Notamacropus eugenii: one gene and its partner. The protein of the gene in region 2 interacts with the protein of the main gene of each other region in a pairwise test. Links are inferred from orthologs where the notes say so. Each region holds a gene or a part of one and is shown on either strand. Other genes may lie near its edges.

Region 1 (10,569 bases), about 350 Mb from region 2:
AGCATCTGTTTGCACCTTAGAGTGCTCCCCACTCAGCACACAGCTGGGCCACCCTGGGTACAGGGCCCTTCCTCAGTCCAACCTGAGTCTGTTCTGGGACTGAGGAGTGTGGAACAGAGGCTCTTCCTGCCCACTGTGCCAGCCCAGGCATCCCCGGGATCTCTCCCCATTCTGCTGCCCAGGTTCGGTCCTCCTTCAGTGCTGGGTGGTGTAATGTTCTGTGTGTGGCCAGACCTCATTCTCGTGTCCTCAGACCTCTGACTTGGTCGGTGTCCAGTAGCCAGTTCAAGCTCCCAAGTGATTCAATGAAATGTTTTGGGTTGGATTTCCGGATCAGCATCCAGTCCTATGCTCTTTCTACATCTTCGCAGAAGGAGTGTGTGAGGGGAGTGAGGCTCTACTCTGTTATGTTATTCCACTAGTTTGATCTGGCGCCTCTTGCACAGAATCCTGCTGGCCAGTCCTGCCACACAGCAGCCCCTGTGCCTTCACCTCTTCTCTGTCCAGGCTTTCCACCCTTCAAAACCTTGGCACATTAGCTGACTGTTCAGCCAAGTTCTGACCTCCCCCAATCTTTTCACCTCTAATTCCTGGCCAAGACTCAACCCTGGGGGAGGCCCCTGGGTCCCCCCCCCCCCACTTCTCTTCTGCTTCTTCATTAGTGAAGAAAGAACAGCCTTGCCCCCTGGACCTATTACAAATGCACATTTACATTACTGAACCTCAACTAGGCCTCATTGCTGCAGAAAAGTCCTCTCCTTCTTCCCTGATTGAATGTCTACCCCATCTGTTCCAAACTAGACTTGGAGTCAGGAAGACCTGAGTTCAAATCCAGCCTCAAGACACTAGCTGTGTGACCCAGGGCAATTCACAGTCAGCCTCTGTCTGCCTTAGTTTTCTGAACTGTAAAATAGGTATGATCACTTCCCAGAGCTGCCCTGAGGATCGAAGAAGGAGCTCTTTATAAATTTCAGCTATTGTTACTATTATAGTTACTTCACTCTAACCCTCAGCTCTCAAAAGAGAGTTCACCTCAAACTTTGTCAAGAAAAAGGAGGCTGTCCATCATCCTCTTTTCACCTATTTCCCCCTCAAATTCCTCAGTATCAGCCCTCCCCAGTTTCCCCCACTTTGATTTCAGAATCCCAGAGGAAGAGTTGACGTCTTTCTTGGTCAGAGCCATTCCTCTCCTCGTACCCTTGACCCTGCCTGCTGCTGCCTCTGCTGGCAGTGTTGCTCTTTAATCATCCTGTCTCTCTCATCTTCAAATTCTTTTTATACTATTCCTTTCCTGATACCTTCAAACATGCCCAGGTCTCCTCGTCCTTAAGAAACATCCCTTGGACTTGCCACCCCCGCAGCATGTCACGTAGCCTCCCTTTCACATCCCAATCCCTACGCAAAAAGCTCTCTACTTTCTCTGTCTCTTCTTGGTCTTTCATTCACTTCTCAAGCCTTTGCAATATGTGTCCTAACCCAACTACTGACTGAAATAGTGCTTTCTAAGATGACCAACAGTTTCCTTTTATGAAGGCTCATTTTATTAATTTGTTTATTATTAAAATAAAGTTTTGTTGATATTATTTGATTTTTTACATCACAAAGATTTATCTCAGTATACCGTCTTCATTCCCTCTCAAGTCATCCTCTATAACAATTTTTTAAAGAAAAAAAACAAAAAAGAGGAAGAAGAGACCCCCCCCCAAATCAGTACAACCAATCAATACATTAAAAACACATGCTATGTGAGCTGTTCTTCATTCTCCAAGAGGACCAATGATTTTGAGGGGTGATGTATCGACTTGAGAGTGAATTGGATTTAAGATGGGAAGAAGATCTGCAAAATTGTCTGTTTCACTCTCTCCTCCAGAGTCATCAAAGTCCAGTGGCAAGAAAAAAGTCAGGACTGGACATGGCCCAGGATGTCATGGGTGACCTTTGCCTTTCTAAATTAAGGTCATTTCCCAGTCCTGAGTTTGTCTGAGGCAACATCCATTCAATGACTAAGGGTTAGGTAAGAATTGCGACAGAAGATGGTGAAATTTGCCATCACAAAATATCATTCTGGGAGTGGACGCCCCTCATAGTTTTTGGCCAGAACAAAAATCAATTGCTATTTCCACTCATGCTGGGTCATTGAAACCCAAACAACGTGCAAGAGAGGCTTGAGCTAGGGGCGACTGTCAGCCATTCAATGAAAGCCAAAGTGGTTTGAGGTTAAAGCGTAGCATATTCAGTGCACTTCTGAGTTGGACCTGCCACCAGCACAGGGTGAACAATGTCTTCTCATGACTCTTCTTTCAGATCAGGCTCATTCTTCCTCATTTTGCAAATTTGCTCTTGGTTGTTTTATCTTTCCACTTCCAGTGTTGTTGTCACTGTGTAGACTGTCCTCTTGGCTCTGCTCCCTTCCCTCTGCATTAGCTTATGCAGAACTTTCCAGCCTTCTCTATATTCATCACACGTTACTTCGTATAACATATATTCCATTACACTCATACACCACAGTTTATTTAGCCATTCCCTAAACGATGGGCATCTATTTTGCTTCTGATTCTTTACAACCACAAAAGAGTTCTGCTATAAAAATTTTGGCATAAATGGGGGCTTTCTTTTTATTGATGACTTCCTTGGGGACTTAACCCTAATAGTGGAATATTTGAATCAAAGGGTACAAACATTTTAACTGCTATATTTCCATATTTAAAAATTACTTTACAAAGTGGTTGTACTGATTCTCAGCTCCACTAACAATGTACTAGTGTGCTTATCTTGCCACAACCTCTCTAACCTTGATTATTCCTATCTTTTGTCATCTTTACCAATTTGTAGGGTATAAGGTGAAACTTCAGACTTGTTTTCATTTGCATTTCTCTATTATTAGGGATTTGGAACACTATTTCCTCTGGTTATTAGTACTTTCTAATTCTTTTGAAAATGATTTGTTTATGTCCTTTGAACACTTATGAATTAGAGGATGACTTTTGGTTTCACATGCATATGTATAACAACTAACATACATACACATAAAATGTAGCATATTATATATGCATATATGTGTATGCATATGTATACACATATACACATATACATGTATAAACATATGTATATTATATATATGTAATATACATACATACAGAAATTTACCTAGGCAAGAAGACCCTATTTGACTAGGAAAACTGGAAAATATTCTGATAGAAATTAAGCTCAGACTAACACTTTCTATCTCACTCCACAATTCATTCTAGGTGGATATGGGACCTTAATATTAAATATCAGACTATAAAGAGAAAAGAAGCAGGGAATGTTTTTTGCCTCTTTGTATTCCCAGGACTTAGGAACAAGCATTTATCAAACACCTATGCTATGCTAGTTACTTTAAAATACTATCTCATTTAATCCTCACGACAACCCTGGGAAGCTGTTATTATTCCAATTTAAGTTGAGGAAACTGATACAGACAGAGGTGAAGTGGCTTGCCCAGGCTTACACAGTTGATAAATGTCTGAGGCTAGATTTGAACTTAGGTCCTCCTGACTCCAGAGCCAGCTCTAGTCGCTGATCCCTCAACTGTCTCTTAGCAGCATTTGTCACCTAATAAGCACTTAGTGAATGTTGGTTAGCTTGACTTCTCCATCTTCATGCTATCTCTCCCACAGCACCAATGAGCAAGACTAAGAAGCACCTACTGTGTTCCAGGAACTTTTCTTGGTACTGGGTCCATGAGGAAAAAGTCGGTCTTTGTCCACAAGGAGTGTGCAGTCTCAGGGGAGAGACAACATATGTGCTTATTATACTATGCAGAATATATTCACATTACATATAAAATCCTTTCAGGATTATTTGGCATTAACAGCTAAAGTTGTTACAAAGGGCTGCAAGTGGTGCTTGCAGTGACATCCTGCATCATGTGATCAGAGAACAGGAAGTGGGTGCAGGAGATGCTGGGGTGAGCCAATTGACTCGAAGTTCTAGTGAGGATTGTCCTAGGCTCTTTTTCCTTTGTTGAATTTTTTTTTCCACTGAGGAATTTCTAAACTGCTTGGTGGGGAAGGCTGGGGCATTGTGTAGGTTGTCCCATGGAATATTTGAACCTGAGGTCTCCGGGACTTGTGAAGGGAAAACAAAGCCTGAAGGAGGCAACATTTACATCCTGTTATTGAGTGCTGACAAGAAGGCCATGGTACAGAAAGTAGAGTGAAGTCTGGAGGAGAGTGAGACCTGGAAGGCCTAGTTGTTGTTGTTCAGTCACTTCAGTTGTGCCCAACTCTTTGTGACTTCGTTGGGGTTTTCTTGGAAGATACTGGAATAGTTTGCCATTTCCTTCTCTAGCTCATTGTACAAATGAGGAAACTGAGGCAAACAGGGTTACACAACTAGTAAGTGTCTGAAGTTGAATTTAAACTCAGGTCCTCCTGATCCCAGGTCTGGTGAATGGAGGATGGAGTAGAGTGGGGAGAGACTTGGGACAGGGAGACCCATCAGTAGCTATTGCAATATTCTAGATGGGAGGGGATGATGGCCTGGATCAGAGCAGGGGCAGGGTCAGAGGAGAGAAGGAGGCATATAGGAGAAATGCTTCAAAGGTGAGAAGTTGCAGAGGTGAAATAAACCAGAAATGTTGTGGAGGTGAAATCAGCAAGAGATGCTGCAGAGGTGAAATCAACAGGTCTTGGCAATAAATTGTATATGGGAGGTGAGAATGAGAAATCAAAGATGGCACTTTGGTTGCAAACTTGGGTGACTGGGAAGAAGGTGGTATTCTTGATAGAAACAGGGAAATTAGGAAGAGACTAGGGTTTGGGGGGAGGTGGAAATCATTCACTTTTGGACCTGTTGAGTTTAAGATGTCTACAAGACATCCAGTTCAAGATGTCTGGAAGGCAGTTGGAGATTTGAGACTGGTGGTCAGCAGAGAGGTTAGAGCTGAATAAGAAGACCTGTGAATCAGTACAGAGATAATTAAATCCTTGGGAGCTGATGAGATCCTTGAGAGAAGTATGGAGGGAGAAAAGAAGAGGGGCTAGGGTAGAGCCTTTAGGGACCCACACTGCTATTGGGTAAGAACTGGGGGGAAGAGCCAGCAAAGGGAACTGAGGAACTATTGCACAGGAAGGAGGAGAACCAGGACAGCCCTGTCTCAAAAACCTAGAGAAAAGAGTTTCAAGGAGGAGAGAGGGATTATTGGCGGGGTCACAGGCTGCTGAGGTCAGATGGTCAGGTAAAGATTAAGAAAAGGCAACGTAGGAAGATGCAGCATGGGGTGGGGTGGGGGCACCCATCAATTTTTTTATCCTTGGTTAGAAACTTAGGAATATTTAGGGAGGAGATCCCCTTGTTTTGTTCTCCTTGCCAAGAAACTGAAATAGGTCAATTTGAAACAGGAAGCAACTCGAGGAAGGATTGCCAGGGAAACTCTCTACCCCTTTTGCACCCAGGTGGACTCCAGGTGGAGCAGAGCTAGGTGGAAGGAGGGAGGGGGTGTCACTGGCCTCCTCCAGTCCTCTCTGGCTCAGTGATGCCTGGGGCTCAATTCTCAGCTAACGGTCTGGAGGGCCCTTTGCCCTCTCTCCAGGATTTGATGACAGGCATCCTCCTTCCTCTTACAGTTCACAGTGACCTCTTCCATCTTCAGTCCACCAGTGCAAGGTCAGGGGCAGGCTCTGGGGGGTTTAAAGTATGCCTGGTAAAAGCCACCTACCATTTAACCCTAGTAGGGCAGGACTCTGAGTCCCTTGCTCTGTGGTTTGACCCCCTGGTTGGAGGAGAGCCTACAGGAATCAGGCCTGGATAAATCAACATGGCAGAACTTGTTGGCACATCTCTCCTCTTTCTCTCCCAGGCTCTGATCATTTTTTGGCAGATCATTTCCTGGAGCTACTTCCTCTCAGGATGTGGCTTGGTCCCTGCTGGGCAATATATGCTCCTCCTTGGCTGTGTTTTTATTCCAGGGCTCTTGGCTCTAGTCCAGACTTCAGAATGACTCTCACCTCTTCTTGGGGCCCCTGTAATACTGGATTAATCACATCAGCACTTTAATGGATTAGTGCTCAGTTTCCCCAATGACCTCAAAAAGGAGGAGAAAGCATGTGAAGCATCCTACAAATACTTAAAGAAAATACAATTTCGCTTAGAAGGAAAACCACAGTGGACTGTGGAGAGACCCCCTCTATCTTCAGTCCACATTGTAGACTCAGTGACCCCAGCCTCCCCGAGGGCTAAACCCTGAGCTTAATCACATTAGCAGAGCTTATGTCAAGGTCCTTTAAAACCCTGGGACTGGGCAGTCAAGCAGGAGAGGGGCAGGAGCCAGGCCTGACAAGTTGGTCAGGGAAGGGCAGACTCTGAAGCAGACCAAGCCCTTGGCAGAAGTGTAGAAGTCCGGCTCTGGTGGGAGGGTCAGCCCAGGGACAAGATGCCAGTGATCAATATCGAAGACCTGACAGAGAAGGACAAGCTGAAGATGGAAGTGGACCAGCTGAAGAAAGAGGTGACGCTAGAAAGGATGGTGGTAAGTGGCCACTTTGGGAAGGCCTGGGGCCAGGACAGGGGAGGTTCCTGGGGAGGTAGAGCCTGGCCAATTCAGACTTGAAAAGATATGACATTGGGGGAGACCATTGGTGGGAACAGGGAGGAGACTCCCAGGCCAGGCCAGCAGTGCCCTTTGCCCACATGGGTGCCTGACCCTGACCAGGCCCAGTCCCAGGAGGCTGTAAAGCTGCTCTCCTCTACAGGGAGCTGCTTGGTCAGAGATGTCAGAGTCAGAACAGAGGAATGCACTAGGGCCCCAGAGTGGAGGCTGGGTCTGAAGCCTTACCTTTATCACCCAAACAATGAGGTTGTCCCCAAATTCTTTATCTGTCTGCCAGGCTGCTGGGCCCAACAATCCCCACAAAAGAACAGATAAATGTTCTGAAATGCTCACAGTTGGACGGGGGGAAGTTGAGGTCTACTGCCACTCTCCTCCTCTCCCCACCTCAATCTTTTTGTCCTAACCTGCAAAATGGGCTCATCCCAGCCACTGACTGTAGTGAGGGGTCTTGGATAGCTGCCCTTAGCGCCCAATGGAGGTCTTCCTTACTCAGAGCCTGACTCTCTACCCACGATGCTTTACCTTGACCTTTGGACCTCATATGGCCTCTGAAAACACTGCAGTTGGAGCATTTCTCCCCAAACCCTCCACATCACAGGGATAGCATGGCTATACTGCATGCTGAGGGGCATCTTCATTGCCAGACACTCATCTGTCTTCCTGAAGGTTCCCTGCCCAAGTGGAGGATGGGAAGGTGAGGGAAGAGGAGGGATGGGAAGGAAGGAACCTTTGGTCCCATTCTGTTTGGGGGGGGTCCGTCTTGCTGTCCTTTGAGCTAGGGATGCACAAAGTGTCTGCCACCAGGCTTCCAGGCCTGAACTGCAGCACCAATCAATAACCATTGATGAGTGTCCAACTGGTGCTGGGGGTGCAAAGACAAAGGAGAAATAGTTCCTGGTCTCAAGCATTTACACCCTACAGGGAAGACACACACAGAGGGATCCAGGTGTTGGTACAAACTATCCATGGGGGAAGCTGTTAGCCCCCAAGAAGTGCCCTAGGGTTGGGAGCACTGGGGATGTCTGGAAGGAAGCCAGAAACTGGTTCCCTGGTCAGGGGGAGAGGTAAGGAGTGTCCAATGCAAGGTGATGAAGGGCTTAACAAGCCCAACGGAAGAGGCTTTTTTTTGCTCCCAGGGGTAGTAGGGAGTCATGGGAGGCGACTGAGCTGGGACTGGTGTGGTCAGACTTTGTCAGTTGTGGAAGATGCATGGGAGAACACAGAGGCTTCTGTCCTCCATCTTTTGAGTGTTGCTAGAACCCTGGGCCAGACATCTGGTCCGTACATCATATGCTTGTAGAGTCTCTCTCGTTGCCTATAGTTCTTATGGTTTGGTGTCTCTGTCTCCAGTGACTCAAGGAACAGACGTGCTTCACCAAACCTGGACTAAGAGCAGGTCAAGAACCCGGCCCAAAAGTCAGGTGGCTTGGGTTTGTTAGCCTGCCTTCGACCTCTGGCCCCGTAGGGAAGTAGGCCATTTCCCATCTTCTAGGTCATTGGAGAGGAAAAGTAGACTCTCTTTGGGTTCATTTCTGTTCAATTCAACTCCACAAACACTTGACAGACCAGGACCTCCTCCAGGGTGGGGTGGGGTCCACCTAGGCCCACTTCATACCCTTTCACTGCCTGTTCTCATCCCAGATCTCCTGTAAATCCTCCACTGGGGCCTCTTTCCAGTCTCTGTGAGTTAAACATTTTGTAAGTGCCTCCTCTGCACCAGGCAGTATACTAAGCACTAAGTTCTGGCCTTCTCTGGGGGTGCCAGTATCTGGCATAGTGTGTTCTCTCTCTCACCCACTGTGACAGTCCCTGGGTGACCCCCCCTTCTGGTCATGCTTGTTCTCTAGTGTCTCCCACATGAGAGGCTTCCTCAGTGACCCAAAGCTGGGCCTTGCTCCCTCTACCTGTCTGCCCATCCCCTCTTTGTCACCTTACGTATGCCCACTGTCATAGTGAGAAGGGACGGAATGCTTCTTTGGCAGTTTAGGCCAGCTCTCCCTAGGACCAGAAGCAGCGATGTGCCCTCCATCCTCTCTGCGAGTCGTGGTCCAGGGTTGAGGGCAGATAGGGATTTTTCTGTAGCAGGAGAGAGATAAAAGGCTGTGCCATCTAGAGACAATGAGACAAAGCTTCAAGGGCATCCACACACTGGAGCCCCTCAGCACTGCATGCCTGGACTGTGGCAGTCACTGCTGGCCTTCAGCCTGCTCACACCTCTCCCTGCTCTGGTCCACTCTCCACCTGCTGTCCAATGGATCCTCCTAAAGGATAGGTCTGCCCATGTCACCCTTACCCCACAAACTCCAGGGGCTCTCTAGCCCTCCAGGAGGAAATACAAAATACTCCACTTGGTGTCCAAAGCCCTTCTTAACCAGCCACTTCCTCCCTTTGCAGTCTGACACCTCACTCCCCTCCAAGTACTCTGTGCTCCAGTGGCCCTGGTCTCCTGGCTGTGTCCTGCCTCTGGTTGAAGCCCCACCCCCATTACAAAGACTCACAAAAGCAGCGGAGCCCAGTAGAATAGGGCCAAAGACTTTTTTCAGCCCCTTAGAGAAGGTCAGTCCCCCCTCCTTTCCCAGTCCCTCTATGGGCATAGACTGAGTTCACCCCAGCTCACCACCTTCCCATGATGAGGCACTGTAAGAGATGTGAGGAGAGAGCTGGAATTCAGTGATCTCCAGATACAAGCAGTTCATAGACAAGTCTCAAGGTTAAGAAATAGCCTAATGTTGAAGACCTTGCTGGCCACAAGCCACTGGAGGGGTGGGGGGGAGGAGGGACTGGGAGTGGGGGTGGGGGAGGAGGGGTGAGTCCTAGTGGCAGGGGATTGCCCAGGTTTATGCTCTGTGACTTCTAACACTGATGCTGCCAGGTCATCTGGAAAGACTGCCCTGGAGTGAGGCTGGGGTCGGCGACTCGATGCCCATGGGTCCCTGGGGTGTTAGGGTTACCACTGTACCTTGTACTTTATCCTGTTCTGAAGCCTCTGGGTGGGTGAGGACCCAATGCCATCTTGTCTCTTGTTCTGTACCTTCTAGCCCCACATCTGGAGGTCCCTGAGCTTATGGAACAAATACTTCTCTGGCCTTTCCTTCCCCTCTCCCTCCCAGAGGCAGAGGGTGAACCACTCAGGGAAGATAGCTGCAATAAACTGAGTGGGATTAGGAGTGGAATGCAGGTCCTTTGGATCAGTCATGTGGATTCCCTGTTCATAGCCCATACCACTTTCAGAGCCAGCTTGGACAAAGCAGTCATCCTTCCCTTCTCTCCCTTGTATTCTAGGGATTGATCATCAAGCAGAAAGGATACTCTGCTTTGTTAAGGGGAACACAGGACTCCTGGTTTGGGGGATGGACCTGGTTGTGAAGCAAGCTCCTTGTCCCCACTGCTCTCAAAGCCCCTGGTGCAGAAGGAGAGGGAAAAGCAGTAGTGTCTTCACATACCCTGGGAAGTCTGAGGCCTGGCCCCTCAGGGCTGGGCAGAGCTGCCACCCCCAGGCCCCTTCTCACAGCTACCACATCCCTCATTCGACCATTGCTCATGGCCCAAGATAGAGAGTCTTCATTGGGGCCCATGCAACTCCCCAAGGAAGGGCTCCTCCATTTTTGTCTTTGTCCCCATGGCATCTGGCACGTCATAGGCACTTGGGTTCTGTGGGCATTTAAGACCACCTCCCTTCTGAATGCTTCACAGCACTTCATTCATATCTTCCACATTATTCTCAAGACTGCTACTCACAGCAATGGACACAGACTGCTCTGCACACACAGAAATCACAACAGCCCCTCTGTGAGGCAGGTACTTTCCTGCTACCTTGGCTGCTCCCTGAGCTCAGCTCTCCCTCCTCATCCCCCACCCCTTATAATCTCTCAAGACTCAGGGGCTGCCTCCAAAGGATGCTTTTCCTAACCACCCAGTCATGACTGCATCCCTTTTCTCAGCTTATCTCATGGTTTTTTTGCCCCCAAGCCCAATGT
Region 2 (10,641 bases):
CTAAGAGACAGACTAAGATGACTTTTTTCCTACATGTCAACCAGATAAGAATCATAATATCTTAGATAGATAGCACTCTTACTCTGGAGACCTCTTATCTTATTTGGGCTCCATTATCTATTATGAGATGGATGAAGAAAGCAAGTGGTGTTATCCTGTAATTACAAAAGGAGAAATTGAGGCAACAATGAAGACTAAGTCACAGACCTGTCTGGTAGTAAAGTTGGTACTGGAGACTATGCCTCCTCTCTTAAAATCCAGTGCTCCAGACTAGATTTCAAAGGGCATGGAGACTTCCTGGTTGTTGTCCATATGCACAGGAGGGGATGATGATGATGATTTGGTATGACCTCACCCAGTAATCAACCACAAAATGTTAAATTAGCAGAGATATCAGAAATCATTCCTCTAACCCCCTCATTTCATAGATGAAGAAATCCGGGCAATGAGAAAGAAATGGACTTGCCAGGACCACATAGCTAGCATGTAAGCGAGAAAAGCTGGATGGAAGGTGAGTCTTCTGACTTCAATAAATCACCATGCAGTTATTAATAGCTTACTATGTGTCAGGCACTGGCCTAGGAGCTGAGGAAGCAAATTCAAAACTGACAGAGCCTCTGCCCTTTTCAAGTACCATCAGTACTATGTTCACTACCCAAAGAATACTAAACTGGAGGTCAAAAGATACCAATGCCTGAGTCACTAACTGTGTGACCTTGGGTAAGTCACTTACCCTTGCTAAACTTTTTTCCTCATCTCTAAAGTAGGGATCAGAGCAACACCTACCTAACAAAGTTGTTGCAAGATTGGATGAGAAGGAACATAAATCCCTCTTTAAAACTCAATGCTATATAACTATCTGCTAGCATCATCATTATTACCTGTGGGATCTTCTCTGACCTCCCCGTCACAAGAATGATCACCCTGTCCTTGCAGCATCTTGCCAAAACCTTACTCACAATTTCTCTTGCTTGTATCATAATTGTTTGTGTACATGTGTCCTCATCTAGTCCTTAGTCCCTAACCTCCTTAAGAGCAAGGCAAGACCTGTGTGGTTTCTATGGAGTTTAGATCTCTGAGGTCTAATCTGGTCCTAGCCACCTAACATAGTGTCTCACACATGATAGGCACGTAGAAAATAGAACTGCACTCATAAATTCTCGCTGAAGTAGTAGATGGTGATATGAGAAATTTCTGGGATCCTTGTAGTCCTAGAGTTTCTCAGAAAGCAAGAGTTTTCATCAGACTTCTCATTAGGACTGGCGATACTGCTGAGAGAGTCCCTCCCCTACCACCTGCACCTATACCAGGCGCTAGGAACAAATGCCTGAGCAAGCTAGGGCCCTCTCCTGCAAAGGAGTCTGGGAGAAGCACCTGGTATAGAAGGCTAATTTCAAGTGCTTTTCGTGGGAGTGAGTGAATGCTCAGGTGTGGCTAGGGGGAAGCTTGCAAGAACACCTCTGGTATTTCTGCCAGCTTTCCTCAAGTTCCATTCTGTATGACTGGCTGCTGAACCTCTGGTAGAGGCATCCTGGGGCAGATGTGACATCTCCATGTTTCCCCAAGATGTCTCTGGTAGGTGAATCTCCAGTGTTGTGCTGTACTGTTCCAAAATCCGACACCAAATATATCAAAGAAGGAATCTGGGCAATAGTGACAGGTCCTCCATCCCTGAGCATAACTCCCCATTGCATAGGAATGGGTCTCATACTAAGATATTAGGCTAGGCCTAGAAAATCTTACAAGTACTAGCCTAGACTTTTATAGCACTTCATAGCTTTAAAACTGCTTTATGCACAGTAGGTAAGTGCAAATATTATCTTTTTTTTTACAGATAATTAAATGGAGTCTCAGAGCAGTTCCCCATAATTTACTTGCTTGTACATAGTTGCTCGCATAATGTTGTCCCTAATAGATTATGAGCTCCTAGAGGGCAAAGATTGTCTTTTGCTTTTCTTTGCGGCCCCAGGGTTTAATAGAACATCTGGCACTTAGTAGGTGCTTAATAAATGTTTATTGACTAAGTTACTCCAGGTCACGAAGTTAGTAAGAGGTGGAGCCAGAGCTCAAAGCAAGGCTTTCTGGTTCCCAGATTCAGTATTCTTTCCATTATTGCATGCTACTTTAGAATTAGAAGGCATATCTTGAAGGAGTTGTTTTAGATCAATTCAGTGGGAATACTACAATACACAACAGGCAAAAAACAAAAAATGCATGTTTTATTAGGCTGAGTTTTTACTGATGAAAAATAGAAATGTGTTTGATAACAATGCTCTTTTAAATTTTATAGTAATTTACAGTTTTGAAGTAGTCTGGAAAAATTTTATGTAATGTTATGAATGGGTTACTAAAGGGGAGTTTGGGGGTAGAATGCTAAATGTGTGCTGCGATGTTATGAAAGTCAACTAATATAAATGTGACATTTATGATGTAATAAGATTTGTGCCTTGTTTACACATATTATCTCATCTGACCCCACAACAGCCTTTAAGCTAGTAATTATTGTTCCTATTTCATAGATGAAGAAACTGTGGCTAAGAGGTTAAATGACTAGTTAGAGTCACAGAATAAATGCCTTTCAGGTTTTCCTGATTCTAAGTCCAGCATTCTATGCACTCCACGGTGGCTTCTCTTTATAACATCCCTTTGTCCATTCCAAGAGAGATAACGGCTGGTCTGAGCTAGGAAGCCATTTCCTGTAATTTTGTAAACTGTCTTCAGCGAATGGTTTCAAGTCCATCTTTTGGTAGTCCTTCATTAGATTACACTGTCCCCTCCTTTAATGCTGATTTCAGGAATTTCTAATGGCATTAAAACAAAAAACTGAGAGTCACTTTTCCATTCAGCTTTCTCATTTTGGTCCATTTCCATTTTAAGAACCTCTTGTAGAAACAAATGTGAAAGTTTAGGAATCATTTTCTCTTCAACAGTCAGCTTGTTGACAATTCTAAATGTGACATCTCTGGGTCTTAAATAACCTTCTTGAGATGCTAGCATCTAGAGAACTTTAATTATATGTTTCCCCCAAATGAGAGTTGGGTCAAGCACTTGGTCCACCAAAATGAATACCAAATAACTCAATAATTAACTGTCTAGGATGTGGAGGTGGATAAACATTTGACTCAGCAGCCAGTTTAAGATATATAGCACTGACAGAGGTACTTTTAAAAAATAATTTCAGGGTTAGGGAATTTTGATAATAGAAGTGGCTGGTAACAGCACTTTTAACTTTGTGGTGATGAGACTCAGTTTTTGACCACACAATTATTAACTGTAAAAGCAAAAAACAAAACAAAAAAGCCTTCAGCAAAGGTGTATCAAACCTTATCTAGGGCAAAAATAACTTTTTTCCCCTCCTGAAATGGCAACTTCCAAATCACTATTACAGCTCTCTGCATTCTTTGCCCGGAGGCCCTCTTTTCCTTCAGGGGAAAGGAGGAAGAATCCGGGAAGTAGGAAAGCAATCTGAGACGGGTGGGCAGAAGGCAGAACTGGAGCGGTCACTCACTACTTGTGCACCCCCGGGAAAGTAATTTAACTCTCTCCCCGCTCCTATTTTTGTGATTGTTGTTTCTCCATCAGTAAAACGAGGAGGCTGAGCTTCCTTATGATCCTGCACCTAAAATCCCAGAAAAGACACATCCTGGAGGCTCCTCCCCCAAAGTTGGTTGCTCACCAAAGAGGCTCCTCCCCCAAATTTAGTTTCTGACCCAGGGTGCTCCTCCCTCAAAGTTTAGTTTCTTATTTCTGACACCATACAAAAGTCCTCCAGAGAACCCAAACCCATAGACTGGTAAAAGTAACTGTGATGGCCAAAACGCAACCCAAAAGAGTGTTACTGAAAAGTCCAGAGACCTCTGAATCGTCTCTGAAGCTGAGTGCAAGCTCTCTCCTCCTCTTCCCTTCCTTCATGTCCTCGGTTCCCTGACAAGAGTTCCAGCAACAGTATTCTACCCTCAAGGAGACTTTGGCAGAGATCCCAGAGAGGTCAGCGGACACAGCCTTCCTCCAGTGCGGAAGAAAACTGTAAGATACCGCTACACAAATGTCCAGGAACGAACATTTCATACCTGGAAGACGCAAGACGCACATAAAACAAGTTTCTTGATGCCAAACAAAGCCCAAAAGAGTCTAAGCTGAGGAAATGGAGGTGGAAAGACTTGCTAATTTGCAATGCCATACATACACGCCCCCAAATCAATCCACCCAACCGAAACCGATTGAACGGGTAGGAGCTCAAGTGGGGAGCTACTTCAGAACCGGAAGGGAAGAACCAAGAGAGGGTTCCCTAACAGCTCGGGGAGGGGAGGTGGCATTTCCTCCTCCTTTCTCCACCCGCTCTAAGGCAAACAGCTGCCAAATATGCGCCTCCGCCTCCTGCCCTCCCCGGGTTCACAGCGCCATTCCCAGGGCACACGTGGCTGCAGAAAGCTCAGCCTTTAAGACTCTGGCTAGCTCCTACAAGTCAGTTTGACTTGAGGGTTTGTGTTGCAGCAGGGACGACTGGAATAGAAAGCAGGAAAGAAAACTAATGCCACTGGCACCAAGGGCCCTGCTTCAAGGGGGCCACCAAACTCACCTGCATCACTGAATTTGCTGCTGCTGCCGCCAGCACCATCTTCTCCAGCTGCAGCCCCCTCAATCCCAAGAGAAGCCATTCCGCTGGGAGAGTGGGGGAGAGAAATGAGGAGGTGGGGTCTAGTTCCAATGAGAACCTAGGACTCAGTTTACACCTCACCTCACCCCACCCCCAACTTCAGCCTTTCCTCCACTCCCCAACGTAGCCACCAACAGCTCTTATTCAGCAGAACCGAACAAGGGAGAATGGGAGGGACCTCCATAAGCCCCACCCCAATCGCTAGGGTGTCCTGTCCCTTCTCTGGAGTGAGGTGGAAAACTACACTTCCCACCATGCATCGGGGAGTGCAGAGGAGGGAGGAGGGAAGAGGGGGGGAGTGGAGTGGAGGAAAGCAGTGGGGGCGGTGCGCCCGAGAGTGCCCCGGCGTGTTCGCTTAGTTCAGTGAATCAGAACAATGCCTGCGCGTCTGAATCCCCGGGAGCGCGTCTGAGGAAGCTGCGGAGAGGTGCAGCAGCGGCCCCAGCTCCAGCAGCCCGAGCAGCCTTAGCATCAGTCGGAGCACAGCCCGCGCACTGTCAGCGCTTGGGCAGGCTCCAGTCCTGACCCTTCTCCCTCTTGCCCAAGGACTGAGAGCGCTGAGCTGCCTTTAGCCCTTTCGCTGCTGCTGCTACTCTGGCTTCTGGTTTATTGTTTTGAGCTCCTGAGAGGAGGTGTGAGAGAGGGACAACAGAATCTTCCTTCAGCCATGTGGATACCTACAGAGCACGAGAAATACGGCGTAGGTGAGTCTTTCTCCGGGCGAACTTTTATTCTCTCTCCTGGGCTTGCAATTTTCCTCTTTCTCTTCTTTTCTGCTCTTGTTATTTGCCCCCTATATTTAGGTGAGGCTGGAAATGGATAGTTGGGGCATAATATAGTCCCCCGTTTGTTTCCCTCTTTTGCCTTGATACGGTGCTGTGCTATGCAGATCATCTCAAAGCGGAGAGAGATACACACATCCTTGCCCCCCCCAACTCGCTGGATTGGGGGCTCGCGCCCGCCCCAACGAAACCCTACGCACCCACCCCCTTCTCTACCACCCTCCGCTTTCAGATCCGCTGGCTAGCGATCAGCCGCCGATGCAAAGGGAACGGATCCCTTAGTTCTGCGTTGCCGACTCTCATCTCCGTCTTTGGAGTTTGGAAGTGGAGATGGGTGCATGTGTGTGTCAAGTTGCAAGGGAAAGGGCGAGCCCCTTTCCTAGTCTTCCCCTTCGTCCCTTCCCCCCCAAACCCCGGGATTTGAAACGACAATCAGCTGCAGAGATTTCCCGGGAGGAGGGTTGGGGACAGAGAAGAGAGGAAGGGGAGGGGGAAAAAACCCGAAACCAACAAAACCAGAAAGGGAAGGCAAACCCTTCCTTCTGGCTCGCATGAACATCCCCAGAGTGCAAAATGTGCAATAATCTACAAAGGACAATTCTGACAGGAGACTGAGCCCGTTCTATTTCCTTCCCCAACGCCCTTCTCCTCTCCACCCCCCCCCCCCCGCACATTTTTGTTTGTATTTTGTATTAAGTGTTTTTGAGGGTTGGGGGAGTTTCTCTGTGAATTTCCGTTGAATTGCTCCCTTTCCTTGTCATTTGAAAAGGAACGAGGACTTGGTTATGTTTCCACTTCTGGCTACTGCGTCCGGTCCGATCCTGGGGTCACTGCGGGGAGCCGGGCGTGGGGTGGGGTTTTTTTGGTGGGGGGTCAGTTGGAAAGTGCATTTTCAGTTCTGGGGAGTGAGCTAGGGATAGCCGTGGGTCAGACGGAGGCAGGAGGGTACGTTTTAAGGAAAGACCTGTCTGACTTTGGCGTTTTGAGAAAAAGGAAAACAGTGTAACACTCGCTCCTCTGTGCAAAGGTGAACAACAAAGGACATTAATGTTGACTGATGAACGCTGGATTCTCCCTTCCTCTCCCTCCTCCCATTTAATACGGACTAGAGTTCCCGTTCTTGTTTGAATTAAACTGGGTTCTTCCCTTCTCCCCATCCCCCTCCCCTCTTTCTGGGTTTTCAGGATTTGCCTTAAAAAAAAGAAAAGAAAGAAATGGGGCTTTCAGTGAAGGTCCTGAAACACGAACGGGCTAACCACGGCCCTAAAGGTCTCTCTGAGATCAGAACATTTATAGAATTTATCTATTATCCCCTTATTTCTTATCTGCCATCTACTGCCGCTAGGCAGTGCTTTTGAAAAGGGCAAATCTCTGTAGATGTGGATACTGTGGAAAATCTGCTTTCTTCCCATCTCATTCGTTTCCTGCAATTAAAAAAGGAAGATCAAAGTGCTGTTTGTGGGAGTCATTTTCACAGGGGACCCTCTCTCCCCAATTTTGCCTGGAGGAGAGACCGTGGAGTCCTCTGAACTGACTTCGTGAAGTGATTAAACAAAGTCAGCTCATCTTTTGCTTGACCTACTAAAAGCCTTCGTTCTGTGTTGAGTGGTTAGCAAGACAATAGTTTCTTCTAGATGTGTTTGGAGTATGTTTGACAGCCATTCTTTCCAGCTTCCTTCTTTTCCTTGGTCGCTTTTATATTTTTTCCATATTTAGGTAGAAGCCTAAAGAGTTTGTCTTTGTTTCTGAGCTTGAGGAAGAGGGTATCATCTCAGTATCATCTCATTGCACCGGGTTTAACAATTAGTGCAAGAAGCCAAGACCCATTCAGGGCAACCCCGTCCCATTTGGAGTTGATCCCAGATGTTGCTTTCTTCCAAGTGTTAAATTATAGAGATTATCGATGGGATTCATTTTCTTTTATTTTTCTATGTGCCAGGTCACAGCTGGGTTGCTAGTATCGATTAGCTCCCCTAGTCTCTTTTCTTTACTGCTGTGGGCAGGGTCTGATAAACCACTCTAGGGTTTGCTGGAGTAGCAAACAGGATATTATCAGTGAAGTATTTCAAGCTGCAGCAAAATCACTCAGATTTGTGTGGTGGTAGTTGTGATTTGGAGGCCACTTATCTGAGTGGGAAAAGGTGGCAAAGGAAGGGGGAGAGTGGAAAGATGAGTATTTCTTGCCAGAATTATTGCTTCCCTTTGTCATTTATACTGCAAACCTTTGAGGGCTAATAATATTTTTTTTTATTATTTTTCAAGCATTTGGCTTGTGGTTGCTTAGTTGTTCACCATCCATCTGTTAGAATTTTTTGGAGTACTGAGAAAAATTTGCTAGGATACTCCTGCATGCGGAGCTTCTTTCTTCACCATGGAGAGAACTATTTGTGGCTGTTAGTGCTTCAAGGCTTCTTCTCCTCCTCCTCCCTTTTACCCTTGATATAAATGTGTGTGTTTTCTGTAGTTCTTATGAATACCAGGGAAGAGTATTTTGTGGTTATCAAAGATTTGCAATTCTTGGTTCAGTTCAGTTTCATCAGTAATTGAAATAAATTGATCCTTTCCAACCTGAAGTGTTCAGATACCTCTGAAAATCTACCACTTTTACTGTGGGACTTTTTAAAAAATCTGTAGTGATCCGTGTGTGTCCACAGAGAAAATATTTGTGTCTTTAATATATCTGTGTTAACATTTCACAAATATAATGCATATTCTTCATTTTCTTTTATAATAAATAGTATATGTATACATGTACATGTGTGTATATGTAGATGTACATATATGTATGTGTGTGTATATATATTACATATATATATTTCAAAGTGGTTTGAAAATGTAAATTCTCTCACCTGGGCAATAGAATAGCCTATAGTGTTTAAGTGATAACCCACCTTTATGTCAAAACCATCTATGTTTTGTCATGGGCCTGAATTGTCTAAAATTGGAAAATTATGAAAGATAAGAATCAAACTAAATTTCTGAGCATAATATAACTCTTTTCTTTTTAGTGTGATTAAAAAAAGTTGTTCATGATGAAATGAGGATTTTTTTTTTAAGTTGAACAATTCTGGTTATTGACTCCATCAATTAGCAGAGTAGAAAAGAGGCATTGGACTCAAATGCCAGAGACCAGGGTTCCAGTTCTGAATTTACCATTGACTTGCTTTGTGTCTTTAGGCACAAGTCAGTAACTTTGTTGGGCCTCAGTCTCTTTACCTGTAAAATGAAGGAGTCAGACTACGTGATGATTTACATTCCCATAAGCGGTAGCTTTACAGTTTTAAAGCTACTAATCACATGTACCCTTTAGAAAGAAGAGCAAAGCTTGCTGTGTGGTATATACTTTTTCCATGGCATGCCAAAAATGATTTTTAAACAAGATGAAGAGCTAAGCAAAAGCCACCCGGTTTCTTGGAGGGACTGCTAGGATCCAGGTGGCAGTTGCTCACTTTCACAGTCTGTCTGATCCTTTCAAGAGGAGTTCCTCTGATGGTGAGTAAAGCAGATTCCCCCCGCCCCCAAAATGTTTTCTGATTTCCTGCAGACTGAATAATTTTACAAAGATAAAGAGGTCACCTTCCTTCTCTGTGTAAGTGGGGATTGCCCACAGAAATAGTTCAGAGCATTGAAGGCGTAACTGCTCCAAGATTCCTTCAGCAGATAGTTGTGTGGTGCCTACAATGAAGAGACATTCTGGCATGCAGCATAGAAAAGAGGCCTGAACTACAAATGAAGGGACTTGTGCTTAAAGAAGGCTCTCCCATTAAACTAGCTCTGTGCTCTAGGGCAACTTATTTTTAATCTTTCTGAGCTGAAATTTCTTCACCTGTAAAATGTGAATAAAATTTGCCCAGTCTACCTCACAGTGCTTTTGTGAGGCTCAAGTGAGATAACAGATAAAAATACTTTATAATCCTAAAACACTATATACAGATGAGTTATTTTATTGTCTCTAATATCCCTATGTGGATTAGTTATTTTTTTATGTTCCATAACCATAGACAGCACTTCTAACTTTGTCAGCTATCTAGTTCATAAATGTACACCCTTGGCTGGGCAAAGGATTAGGGATGAATCAGTGCAAAGCCATTAACATAACAGGTAAAACAACTCTGAATGCATGTTATACATACTAACTCTAGTTAATAGTATAATCTTGTATGTGAAGGATCTACTTAGTATTACCTCTACTATTGTACTGTTGTCGAGATCAACATTAATATTATTACTAGTCATTCATTAATCTGACAAATATTTGTTAGGTCAGTCAGGGGATAGCTATAATACAAAAAAAAAGACAAAAGACCATTCTTGTCCTCAAGGAGCTCAGAATCTACTGAGGGAGATGACATACGAAGAACTATGTACAAACTATATACAGAAGAAATTGGAAGTAAGCAACATAGAGAATTCACTAAAATTATGGACTATATGTTCTGGGTATCGGAGGAGATAAAATTTTAATTAGATGGGGTATCTGCTCTTGAGGACTTCGTAAACTTACGCAGTCTTAAAAAAGTACCTGCCTATATTTTTCAGGAAGAGGAAAAGTATGGTATCATACAAAGAGCATAAGACTTAAAGTTAGAAGATCAGTTTTGAACAGCTGTGTGGAAAGTGTGTGACCTTGGACAAATCACTTATTCCCTAGGAAGCTCCATTTTCCCAACTGTAAAAAGAGGATGATGACTTCATAGGATTGTTGAAGTGAAAATACTGTATAAACTCTTAAACACTATATAAATATAAGTTATCATTTTCTAGAGATGTTTTGGCTTAATTTGATTTGTTTTTCTTTTTAAAGTCCTTCTATTGTAACAGAACTAATTCCTGCCTCTTTATAAAAGTTATTTTAGAGTGGTATTTCCTTCAAAAAGAAAATATAATTATACTCTTTATAATTAATTTGTTTTTAGTTTTCAACATTCACTTCCATAAGATTTTGAGTTTTAAATTTTCTCCCCCTCCCTGTTCTCCCATGTAATTGTACTCTTGTCTGGGAGAGAATAAGGAGAGTGTGATTTTTCTTTTAGTTTTTGTTCATTGCTATTGCAAACTCATTTTACAGAGTTTAAAAAGAATGTTTATTTCATGACTTTTTTTGTTTCCAAATACTGTGTGGTTGTAATGCTATGGAAGCAGCATTCAGAAGGAATCCAACTGTATACACTAACTGTATAATTTTGAACTTTTTCTTAAGTA

Evidence for each region. The genes of interacting proteins can lie anywhere in the genome.
Region 1: the proteins of ZNF277 (region 2) and GNGT1 interact in a two-hybrid assay, tested with the Homo sapiens proteins (3 studies listed by BioGRID and IntAct). The two-hybrid records come from large-scale screens. The link is inferred for Notamacropus eugenii from reciprocal best matches to the Homo sapiens genes ZNF277 and GNGT1.

Annotation. Positions count from the first base shown.
Region 1 is NC_092874.1:489,372,853-489,383,421, forward strand, and holds the start of GNGT1 (guanine nucleotide-binding protein G(T) subunit gamma-T1), read left to right. Parts: upstream 1-6,322; 5' UTR 6,323-6,415; coding exon 6,416-6,511; intron 6,512-10,569. UniProt on the Homo sapiens protein: Guanine nucleotide-binding proteins (G proteins) are involved as a modulator or transducer in various transmembrane signaling systems.
Region 2 is NC_092874.1:141,835,377-141,846,017, forward strand, and holds the start of ZNF277 (zinc finger protein 277), read right to left. Parts: upstream 4,851-10,641; 5' UTR 4,659-4,850; coding exon 4,580-4,658; intron 1-4,579. Other genes in the region: DOCK4 (dedicator of cytokinesis protein 4), read left to right, coding at 5,325-5,361. UniProt on the Homo sapiens protein: Probable transcription factor. Involved in modulation of cellular senescence; represses transcription of the tumor suppressor gene INK4A/ARF, perhaps acting via the Polycomb group (PcG) complex PRC1.